Sus scrofa: one gene and its partners. The protein of the gene in region 1 interacts with the protein of each later gene in a biochemical or structural test. Links are inferred from orthologs where the notes say so. Each region holds a gene or a part of one and is shown in the gene's direction. Other genes may lie near its edges.

What was found.
Region 2: the proteins of CREBBP (region 1) and ETS1 form a complex in vitro, tested with the Homo sapiens proteins (3 studies listed by BioGRID, with this or other methods). The link is inferred for Sus scrofa from reciprocal best matches to the Homo sapiens genes CREBBP and ETS1.
Region 3: of the proteins of CREBBP (region 1) and ZNF106, one has a biochemical effect on the other in vitro, tested with the Homo sapiens proteins (2 studies listed by BioGRID, with this or other methods). The link is inferred for Sus scrofa from reciprocal best matches to the Homo sapiens genes CREBBP and ZNF106.
Region 4: of the proteins of CREBBP (region 1) and MAPK3, one has a biochemical effect on the other in vitro, tested with the Homo sapiens proteins (2 studies listed by BioGRID). The link is inferred for Sus scrofa from reciprocal best matches to the Homo sapiens genes CREBBP and MAPK3.
Region 5: the proteins of CREBBP (region 1) and ETS2 form a complex in vitro, tested with the Homo sapiens proteins (2 studies listed by BioGRID, with this or other methods). The link is inferred for Sus scrofa from reciprocal best matches to the Homo sapiens genes CREBBP and ETS2.

Annotation. Positions count from the first base shown.
Region 1 is NC_010445.4:38,485,062-38,489,768, forward strand, and holds part of CREBBP (CREB-binding protein), read left to right. Parts: intron 1-522; coding exon 523-694; intron 695-989; coding exon 990-1,034; intron 1,035-3,229; coding exon 3,230-3,354; intron 3,355-4,009; coding exon 4,010-4,198; intron 4,199-4,707. UniProt on the Homo sapiens protein: Acetylates histones, giving a specific tag for transcriptional activation. Mediates acetylation of histone H3 at 'Lys-18' and 'Lys-27' (H3K18ac and H3K27ac, respectively).
Region 2 is NC_010451.4:55,407,258-55,411,964, reverse strand, and holds part of ETS1 (protein C-ets-1), read left to right. Parts: intron 1-483; coding exon 484-603; intron 604-2,373; coding exon 2,374-2,574; intron 2,575-4,707. UniProt on the Homo sapiens protein: Transcription factor. Directly controls the expression of cytokine and chemokine genes in a wide variety of different cellular contexts. May control the differentiation, survival and proliferation of lymphoid cells.
Region 3 is NC_010443.5:128,931,182-128,935,888, forward strand, and holds part of ZNF106 (zinc finger protein 106), read left to right. Parts: coding exon 1-1,676; intron 1,677-2,727; coding exon 2,728-3,358; intron 3,359-4,544; coding exon 4,545-4,614; intron 4,615-4,707. UniProt on the Homo sapiens protein: RNA-binding protein. Specifically binds to 5'-GGGGCC-3' sequence repeats in RNA. Essential for maintenance of peripheral motor neuron and skeletal muscle function.
Region 4 is NC_010445.4:18,290,521-18,294,461, reverse strand, and holds the end of MAPK3 (mitogen-activated protein kinase 3), read left to right. Parts: intron 1-266; coding exon 267-398; intron 399-839; coding exon 840-949; intron 950-1,032; coding exon 1,033-1,155; 3' UTR 1,156-1,187; intron 1,188-2,370; 3' UTR 2,371-3,018; downstream 3,019-3,941.
Region 5 is NC_010455.5:202,470,057-202,474,763, forward strand, and holds part of ETS2 (protein C-ets-2), read left to right. Parts: intron 1-1,803; coding exon 1,804-1,915; intron 1,916-3,252; coding exon 3,253-3,372; intron 3,373-3,696; coding exon 3,697-3,897; intron 3,898-4,707. UniProt on the Homo sapiens protein: Transcription factor activating transcription. Binds specifically the DNA GGAA/T core motif (Ets-binding site or EBS) in gene promoters and stimulates transcription.

The DNA of each region.
Region 1 (4,707 bases):
ACCGACTACTGATGTCTCCCCTGCAATAGATAAAACTGCTTTTTCTTTTTTCTTTTCTGTCCTTGGTTGGTTGGTTGGTTTGGCTCCACCCATGGCACAGGGAATTCCCAGGGCAGGGATCAGATCTGAGCCACAGTTGCGACCTAAGCCGCAGCCGTGGCAACACTGGATCCTTTGACCCACTGTGCCAGTTCTGGCGCTGCAGAGACGCCACCCTCCTGGTATGCCATGGCAGGAACTCTGATGAAGTCGTTTTTATCTGTGCATTTACTTGGTGGCGGCCTTGGTTACAGTGCTTGTCCTGTGTCATTGCCGGCGCGAATCCAAGAAGAGGTTCAGCTGTGGACTCACCTGTGATGAGTACCTCGTCCCTGCTGCCTCATACATGCTGTCCCATCCCTGGGTGCTCATGCTCACCTGCGCCAGTGTGCTCAATTGAAACGATCGTCAGTTGGTCAGAACACACGCACGCGCGCAGAGCTTCTTTGTAACGAGTAACTAGTGTGGAGGTTTGCTTTTCAGGATGAGTACTATCACTTATTAGCAGAGAAAATCTACAAGATACAAAAGGAACTAGAAGAAAAACGGAGGTCACGTTTACACAAACAAGGCATCTTGGGGAACCAGCCCGCCTTACCAGCCCCTGGGACGCAGCCCCCTGGCATACCACAGGCCCAGCCCGTGAGACCGCCAAGTAAGGACTGCCTTTCTGGCTCTCCGTCTGCCTCCCCGCTTCTCCTTCTGCATCTGGGATGATTTCTGAGCATGTGGAATCATGTTCCCAGGAAGCCTGTGCTTAGAAAATTGTGGGGGTGGCCGTGGCATGGCCGAGGCCATGGCCTGTGTTTAGAAGTTGAGTCCCCCTGGTGGATGGGCCTCGAAAGGGTGTGCCAGCGTCAGGCTGCTCGGTGCTCTTGCCCCTGTTGACTGGCTTTCTCTGTAAGTTTGCAAGATGATTTTCTGTAATGCTGTTTTTTCTGCCCTTGCAGATGGGCCCATGCCCCTGCCTGTGAACCGCATGCAGGTTTCTCAAGGTACCAAACTATTACTGTCACTCACATTCTGGTTTCACATTCACAGCCACAGAGTCGATGGGTGTGTCCTCTTCCCTCTGTGTTTCTCTGTCGCTCCTTCTCTTCCTCCCGCTCCTCCTTGCTGATGAGCAGCATCCACGTTCATGGGCAGTACGGCATATCTGATGCAGTTGGAAGTCTCGAGATCATAGGGGACTTTTCCAGGGAGATCGGGAGTTAACCCTTTGTTTGTTTGTGTTTTGGATGGACAAGACGTTGCCCTTAGGAAGAGTCTCCCAAAAAAGGCACTGTAGGTGAGGGAGAGAAACTCTGAACATTCTGAACGGAGCGCACTGAGCCCGCCCTGGGGCAGGGGCACTGCCAGGGGCGAGGTGAGGAAAGCGCGGTGGTTGCTCTGGGCCCCGTAGAGGCTGGCCAGGGAAGGTTGGTGCTCAGAGAGTCCTTGTCAGGCCGGGCTCTTGGCAGCTGGTCTGAACAGCTTTCAGAGGTTCTTTCTCCCGTTGAGATTCTTTTTGTTGGTGATGATTGAAGCAGTCATTTGAGTTTGGGAGTTTGGGGGTGAGGGTCATTTCAGAGCTTTTACAGCTCTTGTCAAATTGAGACATGAACAGTAGGATGATTTTACAGCTTGCGAAATGAAATAGTGACATTATCCAGATTCCAAAGCAAGGCTTTCCTGCTGTGTGTAGAGGAGTTGAAGAGGGGAGAAGAGGCCGATTTAAAGGTGTGGTAAGTGTGGCCACTGTAGCTCAGCGGGTTAAGAACCTGACATAGTGTCCGTGAGGACGCACGTTCAATCCCTGACCTCGCTTAGTGGGTTGAGGATCCGGCATTGCCTCACGTTGTGGTGTAGGCTGGCAGCTGCAGCTCCGATTCGAGTCCTAGCCTGGGAGTTTTCCTATGCCACAGGTGTGGCCATATAAAGAAAAGGAGCACCTAAGTTTTTAAAATAAAAATAAAGGTGTGGTAATTGTACTGCCTACTGAAAAAGACCTGGTGGATAAACTGATCATGCGGAGGAAGCTTTTCAGAGACGTGTTTAGATGGGCTAGGTGTGAGGGCGAGAGGAAACAAGAAATCAGAGAAGCTGAGCCTTAGGAAAGTGGCTGGTGCTGCGTCGGGATGGCATGGAAGGTTCTGGTCTGGGATCTTGAGCAGAGCGGGGAAGGAGGTGTTTGCTAAGGAAGCACAGGCCCCCTTACCAGCACATCGAGGTTTGAAAAGCGGCTCTTTATGGTGCTATTTCTTCGTACATCTTTTTCTCTTATTTAATACAATCCTCATGGAGAGGGGGACGCTTTTGTATTATAGGCTTCTCGGGAAGTCCTGGGCCTGTGCTGAAACCTAGTTAAATAGGTGACATTTCTAAGCGGTGCTGAGGGGGTCCCGTGTTCCTTGAGGCCCCCTGACCCCGCACCTGTGTTAGGCGGTGCCTCCAGGATTCTGTCCCGCGCCACTGTGGGTCCTCAGACTTACTGAACCAGCGTTTATGGAGAGCTCAGAGGTTATCCTGGGGAATGGCTAAGGAAGAGAGCCCGTGGTCCAGAGACAGGCGCAGCTGGTGTGCTGTCTTTGATGGTGCAGCGCCCCTGGGAACGCGAAGGCAGCGTGGCAGTGAGATCCCTCCCGCCTGTGGAGAGGAGGCTGAGGTTGAGAATTGCCAGCCTCAGGGCACTTCCGGAACACGTGATGTGCTTGCAAAATTAAAACCATGTTTTGAGTCTTACCGCAGATTCTCACGAGAAGTCTAAAGCCTGGAAGGTCTGGGGTGGTGGGAGCAGGCTTCCTACAAGAGAGGAGCTGGGAGTCAGGTGCCCCAGAAGGCTCGCACGGCGGGCTGGGTGGGCGCCCTGGCACCAGCTGGCCGCCTCCGTCTGCTTTGTCACCGCGACATGTTGGCACGAGTGCTGCCCCAGCCTCGTCTGCTCGCAGCTTACCTGCCTTTCTGCCTTCACCTCCTCATGCTGCCCTGCCACCCACCCCACTGCACCACCCTCACCACCGCAGCTTTGGTGCCATTTTTCCTGACCAGTCTGTTACTCAGCCGTCTCTTCTGACTGAGGGGGTTTCCTTTCCGTTGTATACGTAGTGTGTGTGTGTGTTCATTCTGTTTTGCTTAGAGTTTATTTGGTGAGTTGTGATTCTCTTTTCCTGTGGGTGCTCTTCCTAATGAACCGCTGTGGGTATCTTCACAGGGATGAATTCATTTACCCCAATGTCCTTGGGGAACGTACAGTTGCCACAAGCTCCCATGGGACCGCGCGCAGCATCCCCCATGAACCACTCTGTCCCAATGAACAGCATGGGCTCTGTTCCAGGGGTAAGTGCTGCTGCCTGCCTCGGCCGGGCCGAGGGGCCTTGCTCGAGTGGGGCGCATCCTCGCTGCAGGGAAACGTGTCGATTGCTGGGAATCCTGTGCTACCTGCTCCCTCAGATTAGGATTGTGCTTTATTTCCTCTGATTCTCTCTCTCCCTCCCCCGCCACTTCCCTTTCCCTTTCTCTCTCTCCCTCTCTGTCTCAACTTTACTATAACAAGAATTATTGGACCATTATTTATTTTTATTGAGATGACAGATTCCTAGGAACCCATGACGTAATGAAAAGATGGGAATTCTGAGGATGGGGCCAAGCCGCCTCAGAGGAGGGACCGAGAGGGACTTGTCAGTGTCTGGTGACTCCTAGAGTTTCCTTTCCGGAGGCTGCTTTCTTAAGTGCCTCCAAGAACTCATAAAAGGCACATTTGGGACTTGAAGCTGTAGCACACTGTTTATTGGTGTGTATGCAGAGGACTGTGTGAAGTGGGCTCGTTAGAAATGGCGCTCGAGAAACTTAGAGGGAGGCTGAGAGCAGCAGGTCTAGGGAGTGGTGGGTCCTCTCCAGCGAGGGAGGGTTTGGAGATTCCTGTCTCGTCCCGCTTATCCAGCAGGCTCTGGCCCTTGCCGCCCCCTGAGCTGTCTGTGACCTTGTCTTTTAGATGGCCATTTCTCCTTCCCGAATGCCTCAGCCTCCAAACATGATGGGCACACATGCCAACAACATGATGGCCCAGGCGCCTGCGCAGAACCAGTTCCTGCCGCAGAATCAGTTCCCGTCAGCCAGCGGGGCCATGAGTGTGAACAGCGTGGGCTTGGGGCAGCCGGCGGCACAGGCAGCCGTGTCCCAGGTACTGTTCTTCGGGGCTCTGAGCCTCTCCGTGGATGCAGCCCAGCTTCCCCCTGACCTCAGCAGGTCTTACTAGGTCATGGACGTGAGGATTCTAGACTTAACGTTTCGTGTCCTAGCATCTCTGGATCCCCCACCCCCGTGTCTTCCATCGTTTCTGCCTTGTCTGGAATGACTCTTACCAACTTGGAGTGAACTTCATGCAAAAGTGGAATGAATGTATTACAGCTTTTTTGGTTTGTGTGCTTCTGTGTTTTGTTTTGGGGTTTTAGTTGTCATTTTCTTGGTTATCATTTGTGTATTTTTTTGAAATTTTTTTGTCTTATTAGGGCCGCACCTGCGGCATGTGGAGGTTCCCAGGCTAGGGGTGTAACCGGAGCTACAGCTGCCGGCCTACACCACAGCCACAGCAACACCGGATCCTTAACCCAGGGAGCGAGGCCAGGGATCAAACCAGCATCCTCATGGATTCTAGTCGGGTTGGTTAACCACTGAGCCACAAGGGGAACT
Region 2 (4,707 bases), on another chromosome or scaffold:
GAATGAATGTGTTATTTCCTTTTCAGAGGTAACAGGAAGTGCATAGAAACATTGATCTTCTTGGGGAAGGAGAAGTAGGGGTAATGAGGGAATTGGTAGCGCTAAAGAGAAAGAGTAAAGGCATTTTGTCAGAGATGCAAGCCATTCTAGGCACGAGTTAGATTTTTATTGATGGGCCCTACCATGCTGTGGAAAGCCCCACAAATTTCACCTGCCCTGGTTGGGGATGTTCGTACAGTTATTTCTCAGCTTGCCTTCTTCAGACCATTCATACTCTGTTCTATTTTATGGTGGTGAATTACCCATTTCGTTTTGTTTAAAATCGAGATGTAACTGACATATAACATTATATTCATTTCAGGTGTACAGCACAATGATTTGATATTTATGGGGATTGCAAAGTAATCTCCACCATCCGTCTAGCGAACTCCGTCGCCTATTAAATTTTGCTAGTATTCATATGATATTATTTTTTTCTGACAGATATGGAATGTGCAGATGTCCCACTCCTAACTCCAAGCAGCAAAGAAATGATGTCTCAAGCCTTGAAAGCTACATTCAGTGGTTTTTCTAAAGAGCAGCAACGCCTGGGAATCCCAAAAGGTATGTTCTGTAATCGGAAAGGGAGAGAAGTGATCAGACTTTGAGGTATGGTTAGTTTCCTTACCTGTTGGGTGAGGTAGACATTATTACTCACTGCCCTTCAGTCAGCAGCTCCAGGTCTTTGCGGACATCCGCTGGAACAAGCACGGGCACATAGGGTGCTCCTTTATCTCTCGGGCTTGTGGCTGCCATCTTGGTTTTGGTCTTAGTGGTGCCCAGACTTGTTCGCACATTAGATAGGGGATTATCAAAAAATTCCACAGCTCAGGTCATGTCCCAAGCCAGTTAAGTCACCGTTGCTCTTAGCATCAGTAATTCTGAAGCTCTTCAAGTGGCTCCACAGTCAGACAAGTTGGGAAAGCATGGTTTCCGAGTCATGCTGCGGCCGCCATTGGATGAACTCAGCAAACTGCATTTCTGGGAATTGACTCTTTTCTGTTCCATGTCCTTTGGTGAAATGTGTTTATACTTGGGTGTTCTCATCTGAAAGGGTTTGTTCAGGACTGTAAGGGGAAGTGGCTTGAGTTGTCAGAAAGGAAAAATGGGGAAGACTTAGGCCTTGACCAAGCAGCATCTCCTGAGCAACTGAAAGCAGAAAGAACACTTTTCTATTGAGTAAGAGAAATGCTGACTTTACACCAGGTCAGTGCTGCTGCTTCATGGGAGGCTTCCACCCTGCCAGGTGCAGGCCTTGGGCAGATTCAGTAAATGTGTCTGCACACCTTTCCATGTGCTCTGCTTTCCCACAAGCCTCAGCTGACAGCGGTGCCCAGTCATAAGGCAGCATACAGTGATTTCTGATTTCTGACCACTGGGTTTTCCAACATCTCATAAAGTCATCTTCTAGATTGAAGACAATGTCTTTGAGAGCAGGCAGGCTGTGGGCACCGCAGTCTGCCATCATCTGAGCTCTTTAAGTGTCATTAGCTGGTGTAGTCATGTTAAACCAGGGGCCACACAGAAAGATTATGTATTATCTGTTCTGCCCTGGCATTCATCGCAGGGCCCATGATATGTGCGTAACATTGCAAGGTATCTGGTACAATACAGGTACCTAGTAAGGTTGTTTCTACTATCATTTGAATGACTTATATTACTAATTGCTATGATTGTCACAGCAGGTCCTCTGTATCCCAGGGCACATTCCACCAAGCACAGATCGGATTTAGTTGGTTGAATCTGAGGAGGTGGGAATCCACAGCTACAGAGGGCTGTGTGTACGCAACCACTTTATATAAGGGTCATAAGCATCCATGGATTTTGGTACCCAAGGGGCTCCTGGAACCAGTCCTCCTCTCTTACCTAGGTTCTACTACACTAACTGTAATTCAGATAAAAATGGTTAAGCATAAGGCAATAGAGTAAATTACGAGAGTTAAGAGCAGGGATAGGTGAGTGCAGCATCTGGAGCATAGCTGACTCTGTTATTGTCACTGTTAAAGAAGTCATCTGTTCCCTTGTCCCAGGCTTTAAAGAAAAGTTTGATGGAAGTAAGGCCGGAAGAGAGGGGAGTCCTGGAATCTTTGCCTGCAGATTCCGTGGGTAGAGAAAACGCTGTTCCTTTTTGGCTGATGACAGTGACTCCTAGCTGGCAGGAGAGAGAAGATGGGGATGATGCACATGGGCAGGAGGCTTGTGGCAGGTGCTCTGTTGGGCATTCCTAATTCTGGGAATCTGAGACCATGCTTGGCCAAGGTCAGATCCTTTCCTGTCCTCTCTGAAGAGTTAAGAGCCTGATCTGCTGGAACTTGATTTGCTCTCTTGCCTCAGATCCCCGGCAGTGGACAGAGACCCATGTTCGGGACTGGGTGATGTGGGCTGTCAATGAGTTCAGCCTGAAAGGTGTGGATTTCCAGAAGTTCTGTATGAACGGAGCAGCCCTCTGTGCGCTGGGGAAAGACTGCTTTCTCGAGCTGGCTCCAGACTTCGTTGGAGACATCTTGTGGGAGCATCTGGAGATCCTGCAAAAAGGTAAATGCATGGTGGACAGGGTGAGGTGGCTGCCCCATTCAGGTGGCTTTGAGAGTAGGCTGGGAGCGTGCCCAGTGGTGCAGCATTGATGCTGTAATCTGGGTGTCCAATCACAGCATGTATGGTCTACAGAGAGAGGCCATGCAGTGCCTGGTAAACAGCAGGTGCTCAATAAAGGCTAGTTTCTTTTTCTCCTATGGATTGGAGGTTCCAGTTTTAATCTTTAGTAAGACTAGGCTCCTGAAACTTCTTGGTATGCAAAATTCTGCTCCCAGTCCTCATCTGGGACTCGTGTTCTGTTTGAACAAGCAGTGCCCACAGGCAGCAGCAAAAGGGTTTTCCTTCTTTTTCTTCTTCTTTTGGCAATCTTAAGATGCATTCCCTTGCTCCATGGTCCCATCTATGAGAAAGCTTTATTTTGCAGAGCTTCGGAATAAAACAGGCTTCTCTGCCCACTAACTGGACCGGAATTGCAGCAGTGAGCGAGGTGCATCTTCTTCATCTGGAGCAGAAACTAGGGTTATGTCAGGACGTGGTGTTGCAACCTTGTAATGACACGGCCTCCCCTACCAGCCCCTTCCAACCTTTTTGGACCAAGTGACTCATGTACCACAGTCCTGGCTGAGTATAGAAACAGCAGCAGGCGGCAAAGTTGGGTGTTTTTGCGCTTATTTTTCTGAATTTCTTCTTAAAATAAATTGCAGTTACCAGCAGTCAGCAGTGCCCTCCAGCTGACTGTAAGCCTAGAAGCTCGTTGCCCTCTCTGACCCAGGCCCACCCTTTCCCTGTGGTCACCAGCTCCAAGCCCTGGCGCAGACGCTGGGGGCAGGGAGCAGAGCCCAGGCTTAGCCCTTTTATTCCCTATAATACCTTCCTTTGTTTAGGGAGATTTTTCCACTCTGCAGTGCCCCCCGAGAGACCCAAGGGAGACTCCTCTGGAGCAGAGAAGTGTTATCTTTTTTCCTTCTCTTCAGCTTCTGCTGAAAATTAAATAAATAAGCAGGGTGGAGAAGGAGGTGGGTCTGGCCGAGGACTGCTGGGCACCTGCACCCGCTTCCCCGAAGCACCGAGGTGCTGCCCCGTGTACCTGCACAAAAACCGCTCATAGGTGTTGACGTGAGCGCCTGTTTCCAGAGGAGAAAAGGTACAGCAGGCTTCGAGCAGATATGACGCGAGCATTGGTTTATAAACCCGGCGGTGGAGTCTACCAGACCGTGGGACCTAAATATATGGCACTAATCCGCTCTTTCCCTCTAGTCATCACCACGGGGCAGGCAGGTGTCCTGGAGTGTCTAAGCGGGCCATGGTTTCTGTTAATGTCGCCACAGCATCTTCCGGTTTCCCAAATGCTTGAAAACGCATTTTTCTCTTTGGGCTCTCGAAACAACCGTGGAACGAAGGAAGGCCCTGTACTCTCTCAGAGTCCTCATCTGTAAAATGAGGACGGCTTCGGTGGTCTCCCCAACGTCACGCCTTTCCTTCAACTTCCGGTCTTTTCAGGCCACTTCCTGTCTTGTAATGATGCGGACTCCTGGGGGAGCTTCTGGTCTACCTCCCTGCAAAGGAAGAGAATAAGTGAATCTCGGAGAAGCAGACAATGAGGGAGTGGGTTTGAGAACAAAACTTGTATCATCTCACCCGTTTGCAGGGGAGAGAGACAGTTGAGAGCCGCTCTGCAGATCCTTGAAGAGCTGAACGTGATGTTTGTATGGAGGCTGCAGCTTTTGTTCTGTAATTAAACAACAGCAACCCCGCACTGAAAGAACATAGCTGTTCTGGGTGGGGTTTAAGGCCAAAGGTACAGGGATGTTTCAATCTGATAAGCTGCTCAAGCAGAGTTTAATCATTTTATCTCAGCTGGGAACTGTTTTTCTGTGCAGGCATAAACTTGTTTTCCCAGCAGTCTCTGTTCCCAACCAGCTATCAAATACCCGAGGAAAAACCCAAACCAAGCCTCTGTCTTTATGTCGGAGTCTTACAGTGAAATGTAATCAGACCACTTGAGATAATGGTCAGAGGCCACCACCAGTTTCCAGGGTCCTCCGAGGACCTGCAGGCTCCGCTTAGTTCAGTGGAGAGACTGCCTCTGCTTGGTTCCCTTCATCTACGTTCCCTTCTCCTTCTTTGGGAAGT
Region 3 (4,707 bases), on another chromosome or scaffold:
AACTGTCAAATGGAGGACATGACTATGTTATGGAATAAGAAATCTAAGTCAGGCAAATACAGTCAAGGGAGATACAGTTGGCAGCGGCAAGAAAATGACAAGGTTGGTACAGTTGCCACATACAGAGGTCCTTCTGAAGGATTTACAAGTGATAGGTTTCCTTCAGAAGGCTTACTTGACTTCAGTTTTGAGCAGCTGGAAAGCCAAACCACTAAACAAACAGATAATACAGCTTCCAAAATTGGTGGGAAGAATGGCAGTGTAGCAAGGGAAAAGCTCCATCGCTGGACTCCTTACCCTTCCCAGAAGACTTTGGATTTACAATCAGGAATGAAAGAAGTCACTGGTAACAAGTCAGAAGTGATAGAGAAGCCTCTCTTTGATTTTAGCCTCATAACTGGAGGAACAAAAGACCCCCAAGTTGATGAAACAAATAATCCCTCAATGCTGAAAACACACAAAAAAAAACATACCGGGTCTCTTAGTCGCAAAGCCACTTCCAGCTGCACTGCTTCCTATGAGGTGGTGAGGGAAAGTCCCATTACAGAAAAACCTGAACAAGAACATAAATCAAATAAAACACCATCATTAAAATCCCCACTCCTTCCAATTCCAGCCACTAAATCAATTTCTCAAAAACAAGATTCAAAGAATGCCTCCAAAACCACCAAAACAAATTCTTCCTTTCCTGGAGAACATTCAAATCCCCTGGACAAACCCATTGTGGAAGAAAATCAGGGTTCTTCTTCAATATCCAAATCGCAGGGTTCTTGTCCTCGTGTTTTAAAAGGGAATAAAAGTACATCAGGAATCCAAAGAGATCCTGATGAAAATTTAAGTGATACATTACAAAAAGCCAAAGAGGTGCTACAGTGTCACGAATCATTGCAGAATCCACTTCTTAGCACTTCTAAAAGCACCAGGAATTATGCAAAAGCAAGTAGGAATGTAGAAGAGTCTGAAAAAGGATCTTTGAAGATTGAGTTTCAAGTACACGCATCAGAAGATGAAAGCGATGGAGAGATATCTGACACAGAAAAGCATGGAACAAAAATTGGAACCTTGGATTCTGTAACTACAGAAGTTTTATCCTGCAGTACTCATGCTGCTGATGAGAAAAGGGGGGATGACCAAAACCTGAAAACATCTAGAAGACCATCCACCTCTCCATGTAACTCAACAGTTGACCAGAAAGAATCTGAGTTGGAAATGACATCTATAACCAGCCCACACTCTGGCTTACTGCTAGATTTGAAAACCTCTCTAGCAGAGGCACAGGTTGATGACCCTGTTAAACCTCATGTATCTTATGAAACAGAAGGCTTCGAGAGTACCAGCCTGGATGCCGAGCTTCAAAAAAGCGATGTAGGTCAGCCCTCAGGTCCCCTCCTGCCTGAACTAAGTAAGCTTGGCTTTCCTGCCTCACTCCAGAGAGATCTAACCCGGCACATTAGCTTAAAGAGCAAAACTGGAGCACACCTTCCTGAGCCAAACCTCAATAGTGCTCGCCGCATTCGCAATATCAGTGGTCATCGAAAGAGTGAGACAGAGAAGGAATCTGGACTCAAGCCAACCCTTCGGCAGATTCTAAATGCATCTCGGAGAAATGTCAACTGGGAACAGGTCATTCAGCAAGTAACCAAGAAAAAGCAAGAACTAGGCAAAGGCTTACCCAGGTGTGTGCTTCTTTTCAGTTTCCATTTCTCTTTTTTTCTTTTAAACTTGCCCTTTGACTCTGGTCAAGAGAATTCTACTTGTTAAATTTAATTAAATGTTTGCAAAAAATATACGTTGTAGATGTCTGGTTTAAATATCCAAGAGTGACTCCTACTCTGTAACAAATGAAATAAAGTGTTTCCTAGCAAGGACTTGAGGTTAAAAAGAAGCATACCTGCTTCTGAGAAATGAGGTGGGGACATAGGAAAAAACCATCAGAAATCCGGCATTTTGGTGATGGGGCCATAAAGTCGCAGCATAAAAAAGTATGTCTGTAAATCTGTATCTATTTGTAGATCTTAATCAGTGGTACGACTTTTAGGTGTAAGTGTTTCCATTGCATTTTACTTAGAACATGTAGATGCTTATCTTTCTGTATTTACTCTGGACATTATATTCATAATCACAAAATACTTTCTCTGAAGTACTTATGTAGTAGTTTGGCTATTCATCTTTTGTTGAGGCACTAAACTTTTCTGAATGGTAAAGCAGCCTTTACCATAGGTTTGCTACTTGAAAATCATCCTGCTGTGTTACAGTTGTATAGCCATCCAGGCTTAAATTTCTATCCTTGTTGAAATAACATAATTATTATGCCCCCTTTTCTATTCCCATAACTTGTATCCTTGAGATTATAAAGTTCTTAGCATGGTGTCTCCTGCTTGTGAATGCTCACTAAACATTATTGTTTGTCTTCTATTTGCTGTTAAAACTTACACATTTATTATCGTTGATTTAGAACTCCACATTAAATCTTCAGTTTTACTCCCCCCTTTGTATATAGTTGTACACAAAAAATATTTAATTTAGAACTCATTACATTATAATACTTATAATAGCATTACATACTTTATGTTTGGAACTCCTACTAAACTGTTCCTTGAGGGCAGAAACCATGTTATTTGTTTGTATTTGTAACCTCAGTGCCAAACAGAATTGGGCACATTAAGTGGTTTCCCCCTTTCCCAACTATGTCTGATTTATGATTTTTTTTTCTTTTTATTTCTTGAGGTTTGGCATAGAAATGGTGCCTCTGGTTCAAAATGAACAAGAAGACTTGGATTTGGATGGGGAGCCTGATCTGTCCAATCTAGAAGGATTCCAGTGGGAAGATATTTCCATTTCTTCATCCCCTGGGTTGGCAAGGAAACGAAGCCTTTCGGAGAGTAGTGTGATCATGGATAGGGCTTCTGTGTATAGCTTCTTCAGTGAGGAAAGTACTGGCAAAGAAAATGAGCCCCAGCAGATTTTTTCACCAGATAACTCATTGAGGTCTACACAGAGTCAGAAAACAACCATGGTCCTTAAGCAGGAAGTCACACCTCTGGCTGCCTCCCTAAGAATAGATGAAAGGGCTGAATATGATGCTACTCAAAGGCGACATAGTGCCCAGTTATCATCTGACCGTACGATTCCTTTGATGCATTTGGCGAAAGACCTGCACAGCCAGGAGAGCTCCACATCACCTTCAGAAAATCACAATGCCCAGGAGAGTAATGGAGAAGGAAACTCTTTGTCATCAAGTGCATCCTCAGCCCTTGCAATCTCCAGTTTGGCAGATGCAGCCACAGATAGTAGCTGTACCTCTGGTGCTGAACAAAATGATGGCCAGAGCATTAGAAAAAAACGAAGAGCCACTGGGGTAAGTATGATTCTTGTGCTGTTTGTAGAACATTTTATGTGGTGACTTGGCCATAATAAGAAAGACTTAACTGTTTAATCTTTCTTGGATATCTGGGGATGTGCTTCTCCCTATTCCAGAATAGAAGATTTCTGAGGTTCTTATTCTTACTTTCATATTTTTATCCTCCTGGATTCTTTCACTGAGTAGCTCTACTAAGTTAGGTGTAATAGAATAGGAATGTACAGTACTAGGAAACTATGAAGTCATCTCTAAAACTAGTCTCTAAGCCAATGATTCTTTGTATCAACTGACCAAGGAATAAGCCATATCTTCAGCTGTAACTTTATCTGTTTTCATGATACATTCTGTACTGCTACTGAAGAAGGAAACTCTAGTGTGGAATTGGTTGGGCATGTGTGCTTGTCAGCCCCCGGGACTACTAGGCTTATCCCCGAGGAGGTTTTAATACCATGAGAGTACGTGTGTGTGAGCATAGTCTTAGTCCCTGTCACTCGGTATCTTTTGTACTTCAGTTACCCATCCCGGTCCGTTACTTCACTGACACTTCTCTTTTGGCGCCTCTGTTTCTAATGTTGCGCTTAACTCTTTGTGGAACCCTTTCTAAAAAGAAAGAGTTGCTGGTGGTACTATGGTCTGGAGTTTGGCACTGTGAGAAAATGGGCCATTTCCTTTAATTCCAAGACAGTATAACAAAGTAAGAGGCATAGGTTCTAAACCTGGGTTTAACTTCCCCACCTCTCTGCCTCTTTGAGCTAGATGCTGTAGTGGGCATTGTTGGATTATGACAAAGCTGTTACCTTGAGGCTAGTCTGAGACTGTTGAGCTTTTTGTTTTGAAGATCTTCTTGCTGAATTCTAATGTAGAAATTATGAAATCAGGTAATGTATTACTAGCTTTTACCCAGGTGAAATGCTTTGCCTAAGCCCTGTGGGCTTTGCCACCTCTAGGATGCCAGGAATGTAATTTACCTTGGATTTTTTTTTTTAAATCAGATCCATTCATTCAACTAATATTTGAATTCATACCATATGCATGAGACCCCTACTGTCCTGTTAGAGATGGTAGCAGTAATGAAGAATAATGTATGATGATCTTAGAATTGATTCTTCCCTCCCAATAAACCCAAATAAACCCCAATAATGGCCTTTACATGTTTAATATTCAGTTTTCTTTATCTTCTTAGGATGGGTCTTCTCCTGAACTCCCAAGTCTTGAGAGAAAAAACAAAAGAAGGAAAATTAAAGGAAAGAAAGGTAGAGTATAGAATATTCTGGCAAAAAGAAATTGTTCTTACAGCAATTCAGCCTTTTTAAAACTTGACACCAAGTGTAGTTTATCAAACACTG
Region 4 (3,941 bases), about 20 Mb from region 1:
CTTGAGCATTTCACAGTATTTCACTTGAGAGTGTCCCCCTTGGATAGATGGGAACAGCAAGACTACATCTGCCCCACACTTAGGAAAAGCTAGAGCTGGGATTTGAACCTAGGGCTGCCCAGAGCCAGACCTCTTGCTCTTTGCCAGCGCAGTATCGGCTGTGAGATAATTGTCGTCCTCGAGTAAGTTGGTAGGAGCGTTTGTTCTTGGCTCCTTTCGTTCCCAGAAGGAATAGGCTGCTCACCGGGTCACCTGCTTACCCACAGGTATCCTGGGCTCCCCATCCCAGGAGGACCTGAATTGTATCATCAACATGAAGGCCCGAAACTACCTGCAGTCTCTGCCCTCCAAGACCAAGGTGGCCTGGGCCAAGCTTTTCCCCAAGTCGGACCCCAAAGGTGAGAGAAGCGTGGGAGCCAGTGTGTGTTTGGTAAAAACTGGGTGCATGGAGTTCCTGTCGTGGCTCAGTGGTTAATGAATCTGACTAGGAACCATGAGGTGGCGGGTTCGATCCCTGGCCTCGCTCAGTGGGTTAAGGAGCCGGCGTTGCCAGGAGCTGTGGTGTAGGTCGCAGACGCGGCTCAGATCCCGAGTTACTGTGAGCTGTGGCGTAGGCCAACAGCTACAGCTCTGACTGGACCCCTAGCCTGGGAACCTCCATATGCCGCAGGTGCGGCCCTAGAAAAGGCAAAAAGACAAAAAAAACCTGGGTGCAGGGGAAAGTACATGAGCCCTGCAGCTGCCTGAGTAGACAGGCCGCTGGACACAGAGAAGCAAAGTAATGCTTCTGGGAGCTCCTCTGGCCCTCCCTTTGACCCCTGACCCCTGCCCTTCCCTAGCTCTTGACCTGCTGGACCGGATGTTGACCTTTAACCCCAACAAACGGATCACAGTGGAGGAAGCACTGGCTCATCCTTACCTGGAGCAGTACTACGACCCAACAGATGAGGTGGGCCAGCCAGAGAGGCAGGCCGGATGGGTGGGCACCCCTGGGTCCCTGTCCTGAGCCTCCCCGCCTCTTTGCCACCTCAGCCAGTGGCCGAAGAGCCTTTCACCTTCGACATGGAGCTGGATGATCTACCCAAGGAGCGGCTGAAGGAACTCATCTTCCAGGAAACAGCCCGCTTCCAGCCCGGAGGGCTGGAGGCCCCCTAACCTGGACAGATGCCTCTGCTCTCTGGGGCCTGGTGAGTGCCCCGCAACCACCCACGCCCAGAATCCCCCTGAGAGTAGGGCGCCCAGCAGGCCCCCACGCAGTCCCAAGCTTTCCCATATCCACAAGCCACAGGTGTGGTGGCAACAGAAGGACCAGAGCCAGCCTCGTCCACAGACCCGGTGGTCCCCTCCGGCCCCACACGTCTCCCATCTATCAACCCCTGGCAACTCCAGCCCCAGCGAGCGTTCAGAGGTCACTGAGGGCCCCTCCCACCCATCATGGAGCAGAACCAGGCTTTGGCTCCCCTTGGACGGGCAGAGAGGCAGGTGGAGCAGTAATTGCTTTGGGAGGAGCTGCCAGCACCCAGCCTGACCCATATATGCCAGGCCTTTTCACACTTAGTATCAGGTCAGCAGTTCACATACCTGTGGGGGACCCTGCCGGGCCTCCCCCCACCCCCACTCTTCTCTAGTTTCCCTTCTGTCCCAGGCCAGCTGCGGCCTGATAGCAGAAGGCGGACACCCCCGCGTTCAAGGCCCGGCTCTGATGCGTAATAAGGGCTGCTTGATCTTGCGCAAGACACCTCACCCTCCTCCACCTCAGTTTCCTGGAGACAGTCCTGATAAGGAGAGCAAACACCTCCCAAGCGCCACGCATTTAGCAAAGAGGTTCCCGTGTGTTCACTCACCAGTCCTTAGAGCAGTACCTTGAACCGGGTGCTCCTGGTTAGCCCCATTCCCAGATAAGGAAACCCAGCCGCATCCCACTCGGCTGCGCAGATAACATGAGGGGAGCTGAGGTCAGGGCTCCGGCAGGCTGGTGGGGGACACGGCTCGGATGGTCAGGGTCGGAAAATGAGACACATGAACACGGGGCGATCTCGACAGGGCTCTCTACTTCTGCAGAAGGGCGCGGGCGCTCAAAAAGCACGTGCAGAGAAGAAAAGACCCTCCCAATTGACCCCTAACGCAGGGGATGTACCCTCCCCCTTTCCATGGGTCAGGTCAGGGTGCCCATCCTTCTTGCTTGGCTACTTTGAAACAAATTGTTCCTGGGAGGCGGGGTCTCAGGAAGGTGTGTCAGCCCAAACCCGAGCAAGATGGAGCAACCATGGAGCAACCGAGATTTCCTGTGATAGAAAAGTCATTATATTACTTTCCACAGGTTCATGGTTTCTAATTAATGGTTCCTCTCCTGCCTGCCTTTTTGTTTAGGCCCTGCCTCCTGCCTGCCCCTCCCCTGCCGGACTGTTAGAAAATGGACCCAGAGCCCAGCCCAGATCACCCCCCCAGGCGACAGCCAGCCCAGGTTCGGGGCGGGGGCAGAGGGTGGGCCTGGCCACCTCCCCTTGCTTAGCTCAGGCGTCCTGCTTCAGGCAGGCTGATGCACCCTCCCCGCCTCCCAGGACCTGAGGGGCTCAGGTGGCCCCAAAGCAAATTTCCCCCTGCTGCTGCTCAGCCTCCGCCTGCCCCCCCCCCGCCCCGCCCCCAGCTATCCCAATCCCTGGTAGTTCTGGAATCCAAGGGCTCTGGCTGCCCCAGGACCTACTGAGGTGAGGGGGGTGGGGCAGAGAGGACCCTGAGTAGGGACTCAGGGCCAGCCCTGCCCCGCTTGCCTCATTAAAGCCACACCCCATGTCCCCTGAAGGAACATTCCTAAGGCTCAAGGGCTAGTATCCCGGAGGAGCAGGGCCCCGGCCTAAGCCCCTTCTCCCCCCCCCAACCAAGCTGCCACGTCTAACGTCCCCGCTGCTTCTGTGTGTGGGTGAACAGAAGTGGAGGTGGGGGCCCCTGGAGCGCCCAGCGCCCCCGCCCACCCCCGTGCCTGTATCTAATATATAAATATAGAGATGTGTATACGGATGGCCCTGGTCTGTCTGTGTTTGCCGTCGCCCGGACCCTACCCCTTGCTGCCTGGGGGATGGACTCTCCCGCCCAGCCGCCCGCTTCCCATCTGTGGCTTTACCGGGCGGGTGGCACAGTGGCCTTGGGCTCCCCCGCTGGCCAGGGTTAAGGATGGGAGTGGAAGGCGTTCCAGATGCCTAGACAGAGTGGGCTCAGTTTCCCCCTTAGTCACTCTCCTGCCCCCTCTCTCGTGACTTCCGGTGTCCAACAGGCTGGGAGTGATTCTAGAGTGACTCAGGGACACCCACTGCACCTCCGGATTCCCTGGAAAGGGCGAGGGGCCGGATGGTGTACACCCCGAGGCCACACGCCTCAGCGGGAGGGGGAGTGTTGTTGCAGAGCTGGTGTAGGGCGGGGGGAAGGTGAGGGGACACACACACCTGGTTCCCCCAGTGTGATCTCGCAGAGAGGGACACTGGGCAAGCGTGAAGGACCTGGGGTACGAGGACCAGAGCTGCCGGGCCTCTCCTCCTGCCTCTACCCCATCCCCAGCGGAGCCCTGCAGCCTGGCCCCGGGCCAGCAGCAGGCTCAGCAGGTCCCAAGGGGTGTGGTGGAGCCAGCCTACATCAGCCAGGCAGTCGGCAGAGTCCATCGGGAACGGCTGAGCTCGTGGCAGCCGGAGTCCGGAGAGTGGCGCGGCCATGAGCCCTCTGCTGTACTACGCCCTGCCCGCCCTGGGCAGCTATGTCATGCTCTCCATCTTCTTCCTGCGCCGACCCCGCCTGCTGCACACACCGTGGGCTCCAGCCTTCTATCCCCGCCTGGGAGCCCACCGGGGAGGTGAGTTGGACCAGGGTAGGCATGGGGCAGGAGGCGGTGGCAGTGGGGGGTGCTCCTGAGGATGGAGAGAGGGTAGCAAGACAGGTGCCAGGGTGGACAG
Region 5 (4,707 bases), on another chromosome or scaffold:
CCCAGCTTCTGCGGGCTCTTCTTATGTAATGTTTCATTCATTGTTCTGCATTGCTAAAAGGAGAGCACACAGACCATTTTTTTGGTAAATGTGTTACCCATTTTTTAATTGATGACTCAACGGATGGGTCACTGCATGACACATGACATGGGATTTCTAGCTTATATTGGAAAAATTTAACCTTTCTTCACGTTTTTCTTCCACAAGTTAGGCAACAATGAATCAGGCCTTTATCTGTTATTTAAAAATCCGTCTTGTGTTAAAGGCTATTTCATTGATAAATGCTAATTAAAACGAAAAAAAAAAAAAGTTAGAAAACTCAATGTCTAGGATTAAAAACAATGGTCTGGCTTCCAGAAGCCCGGTGCTGGCCCTGGCTTTTTTTTTGTTTGTTTTTGTCTTTTTGCCTTTTCTAGGGCCTCGCCTGCAGCATATGGAGGTTCCCAGGCTAGGGGTTTAAATCGGAGCTGTAGCCACTGGCCTACGCCAGAGCCACAGCAATGCCGGATCTGAGCTGTATCTGTGACCTACACCGCAGCTCACGGCAACGCCGGATCCTTAACCAACACTGATCGAGGCCAGGGATTGAACCTGCAACCTCATGGTTCCTCGTTGGATGCATTAACCACTGAGCCATGACGGGAACTCTGCCCTGGCTTTTTAATTTTCCTGGCTGTGAGATTGTTTGAAATCCTCTCAGCTCCAGGCTTCTCTTTCTCTGTGTGCTTCTCTTGCCCCTGAATTGGAGGTGGGTTTACTTTCAACTGACATTCTTTGGAAATTGTCCCCTTTTGATTGGTGGGGGTGGGGCGGTCCTTTTCATCAGACTTGACTTGTATAAAATTAAACCTTCAGGACTCTTCTCAATTGTCCTACAGTTTTCTGCACCATTGAAATAGATCAGGGAGAACTTTAGTCTCTGTGCTCGTGTTTTACGGTCAACATCTCAGAGTAAATGCTTCCACAGATAAAGTAATGTATTTTGTCCTTTGCTTCTTGAGTTTTGGTCACTTGGCTTTCTTTTTAGCTGCGGTGGGCTGAAACTGTCTCCCCAAGGGTCGTTTTTCTGATACACACAACCAGACGGAGCTTCTCTCCCATGGGGGTCTTCGAGGTCCCTCCCGGCCCTGTTGGAAGATTCCTTGTGTTTAGGTTTGTTGACGGAATGTATTCATTTAAGTTGGTGAGACCATTACAAAGAAATTTCCGTCATTCTGATGCTGCAGGTGATTACAGGGGTACCAAAGTGTTAGACTGCACCTGGCTTTGCCGCATCTTTTGCAAATTGAAGGTTGGTGACAACCTTGCCGTCCACAAGTCACTGGCACCATTTTTCAACAGCGTTTGCCCACTTTGTGTCTCTGTGTGTGTCATCTTTTCGGTGATTCTCACAATGTTTCAAACCCTTCACCAGCAAAAAGGTTGACTCTCTGTAGACTCAGTCGATGGTAGCATTTTCTAGCAAGGGAGGACTTTTTCAAATTATCTATGTGCATTGTTTTTGAAACATAAGGATATTCTTCTGACATAATTTAGATACAAGGATGCCTTAATAAAGATAACGTCTCTATACACTGGGAAACTAAAATATTTGTATGACTTGCCTTACTGCGATACTCACTTTATTTTGGTGGTCTGGCACCGAGCCTGCAGAATCTCGAAGACATGCCCGTAAGTCACCTAGAGGAAGATAGAATCCTTTGGATTGATTTGACCCTCTCAAAAGCATGGACCGCTTTTCAGACAGGTCATTAACTGAGTTGAACCGTCATGTGTCAGCCTTCTTTGCCTCTGTCTTTGCAGCGCCAGCCTGCCTTTGACACCTTGGATGGGTCCCTGCTCTCCGTTTTCCCCCCACTAAATGAAGAACAAACGCTCCAAGAAGTGCCAACAGGCTTGGATTCAATTTCTCACGGTAATTTGTTCCTCGGGACTTGACAAATTGAGCGTGATGTCCCTTAGCGGTTCAGTTAATAGAGAGATGACAGTTGGTGTCTTGAATCTTTGTAGGGAAAGTCAGGGAGAGGCTCTGGATCCGGGAGAAGGCAGTTTTCCTTTTTAATGCCTGTGGTGGGTGTCACCTGCCAGACGCCCCCCCCAAGGAGAGCGAGTTCCCTGCTGGGAGCAAAGGGACAGGGGAGCCCCTGAGCTTGCCCTTGGGGTGTTTCAACACAGCAGCCAGCCCATCCTCACCTCCCAGTCCACCCTGCAAAGCAGACCAGTGGGCATTACACTGCACCCCAGCTTTCCATCCTGGGTTCCCAGATCTGCCCCTCCCCCACTCCGAGCCTGGGGACGACAAATGATTCCTGCTCATCTTGACCCGTCTGTATCGGCTTCTGTACTTCTTCATGTCGTTGTTTATTCTTTTTAAAGGACTCGCACATCCGCGAATGCCTCTGCCATCACTGCGATGGGGTTATTAGTTGGAAGCATTCCAGAGATTATTTGGACACGTGAAGTTAGGTGCTAGAAAAACAGCCCAGAAAATTAATTAAAACACACGCTTACGTAAGCGTGCCCTCATGTGATGATCATGTATCCTTCTCGAAACTGCCGAGGGAATCCAGAGGAGATTGTTTTTCAGTAAAAACGGAAGGTGTGTCACCTTCCCGGGTGCTAAGTGTGATGCCCGAGGTCCCTTTGCTGGCGGCTGAGTTTAATGGAAGTCACTTCCAGATTAGCCGCTTACAAGCCCCTAAGCCTTTTGGCCAAAACCTACGCAGTTTCTTCCATTGTCTAAAATTTAAGAAGCATCTTAAATAGGAATGTTACCTAGCCATCACTGCTTTATGAAGTTTGGCAAAATCAAACTCGAGTTTTTAGATTTTTTTTTTTAATGTGTGGTTATGAGATGTATAATGTTGTCTCAATTTAAGTCAAAAGCATTTTTTGTTCATATTTATACTCTTGTAAAACATGATGCTTGCAGTTCCCGTTGTGGCTCAGTGGGTTATGAATACCACACAGGGTCCGTGAGGAGGCAGGTTCCATCTCTGGCCACGCTCAGTGGGTTAAGGATCTGTCATTGCCCCAAGCTGCAGCGTAGGTCACCGATGCGGCTCAGATCCTGAGTTGCTGTGGCTGTGATGTAGGCTAGCAGGTGCAACCCTAAAAAGAAAAAATTAAGTTCAAAATGATGCTGAAGATTGGAGATCAGAATTGTGCTTCCTGAAAAACAAGGATATTCTGCCTTCAGTCCTGCCTGTGTTGCCAGCTTGAACTAACGTCCCCGTGGGGTTTCTTTTGCAGACTCGACCAACTGTGAGTTGCCCCTGTTGACCCCATGCAGCAAGGCTGTGATGAGTCAAGCCTTAAAAGCTACCTTCAGTGGCTTCAAAAAGGAGCAGTGCCGCCTCGGCATCCCAAAGAGTAAGTGCTGCCTCCTGTGCTGCTTTCTGCACCTGCCTTGTGCTCTGCGGACGCCCCGAGACCCCCATGGCTTGGGATGACTTGATTTCAAGCATTTGTGTAGGGCATCTTGCAAAGAGGAACAGAGATGTCTGTCCTTTGAGCCAGTGCTTCATTTCACCACCCATCCAATTGAACACTTCATCCAGCCATGCTCTCAGCGCCTCAGACTCTTCCTGGGTGTTTCACTCGTTTCCTTGGACCCTGGTGCCCATCTGGGCTCTGCAGGTAAACCAGGAGTGCGTCTGGTCTCACTGTCTCCTTTTGTTCTTCCTTCTCCGGTAGATCCCTGGCTGTGGACCGAACAGCAGGTGTGCCAGTGGCTTCTCTGGGCCACCAACGAGTTCAGTCTGGTGGACGTCAACCTGCAGAGGTTTGGCATGACCGGCCAGGTGTTGTGTAACCTTGGCAAGGAGCGCTTTCTGGAGCTGGCCCCTGACTTTGTGGGTGACATTCTCTGGGAGCATCTGGAGCAGATGATCAAAGGTATCTGCCCAGCGACTGGGCTCCCTGGTGGGATGAGCGTGGCAGGGAAAGGGTGGGGGGGGCGCTCGGTGCTCTCCAGCTTTGCGGGGGGGGGTGGTCAGCCTTTCCAGTGATGTGGGGCAAAGCTGTCTGCAGGTGCCATTGGAGTGAGTCAGCTTCGTGGTGGTGATTCCAGATTCTGATCCATTTAAGTACGTGTGTGGGGAGCATTAGCCACAAGGCAGGAGCCTGAGTCACCAGGTGCTCGTTGTTGCCAGATGTCACGCATCAGAGGTGAACGTGTGGCTCAGATTGTGGAGGCGGCAAGGGTGCTTGTGTTTTGTGGTCACTTTATGGAGCCTTAAGAGATAAGTCAGCCTCAGTGAAAGGGAGCCTTTCTTCAGATAGCCCTTGACTCTTCTAGTAACTGTTCCTAAGACCAAGAATTTCTTTTATTTTCATAAACAAATGTAGAAGGAATTGATACAGATTTACACACCGATATGCAGAAACTGGCCTTTGAGGAAGGAACTCTCATCATATAGAAAGTCTTGATTTAGACCTTAAGAGAGCGATGTTGAAAGTTCATTGAGTTTAAAAGGAAAACCAAAAAAACATTATCGTGAGGGGTCATTCAAGGCAAAAATACAGGAAAATAAGTCCATTAGAAGGGTTCAGGAAATTATTTCTTATTTAATTGATTTTAAACTCCGCGTTTCAATGATCATAACAGACTGAGACTCTTAAAACGACCTTAGGGTCATTTGCCAGCTTTTTTTAGTTCTGGCTTCTGTTATTTTTAAAGACTCAAATTTTTCCTGAATTTGGACA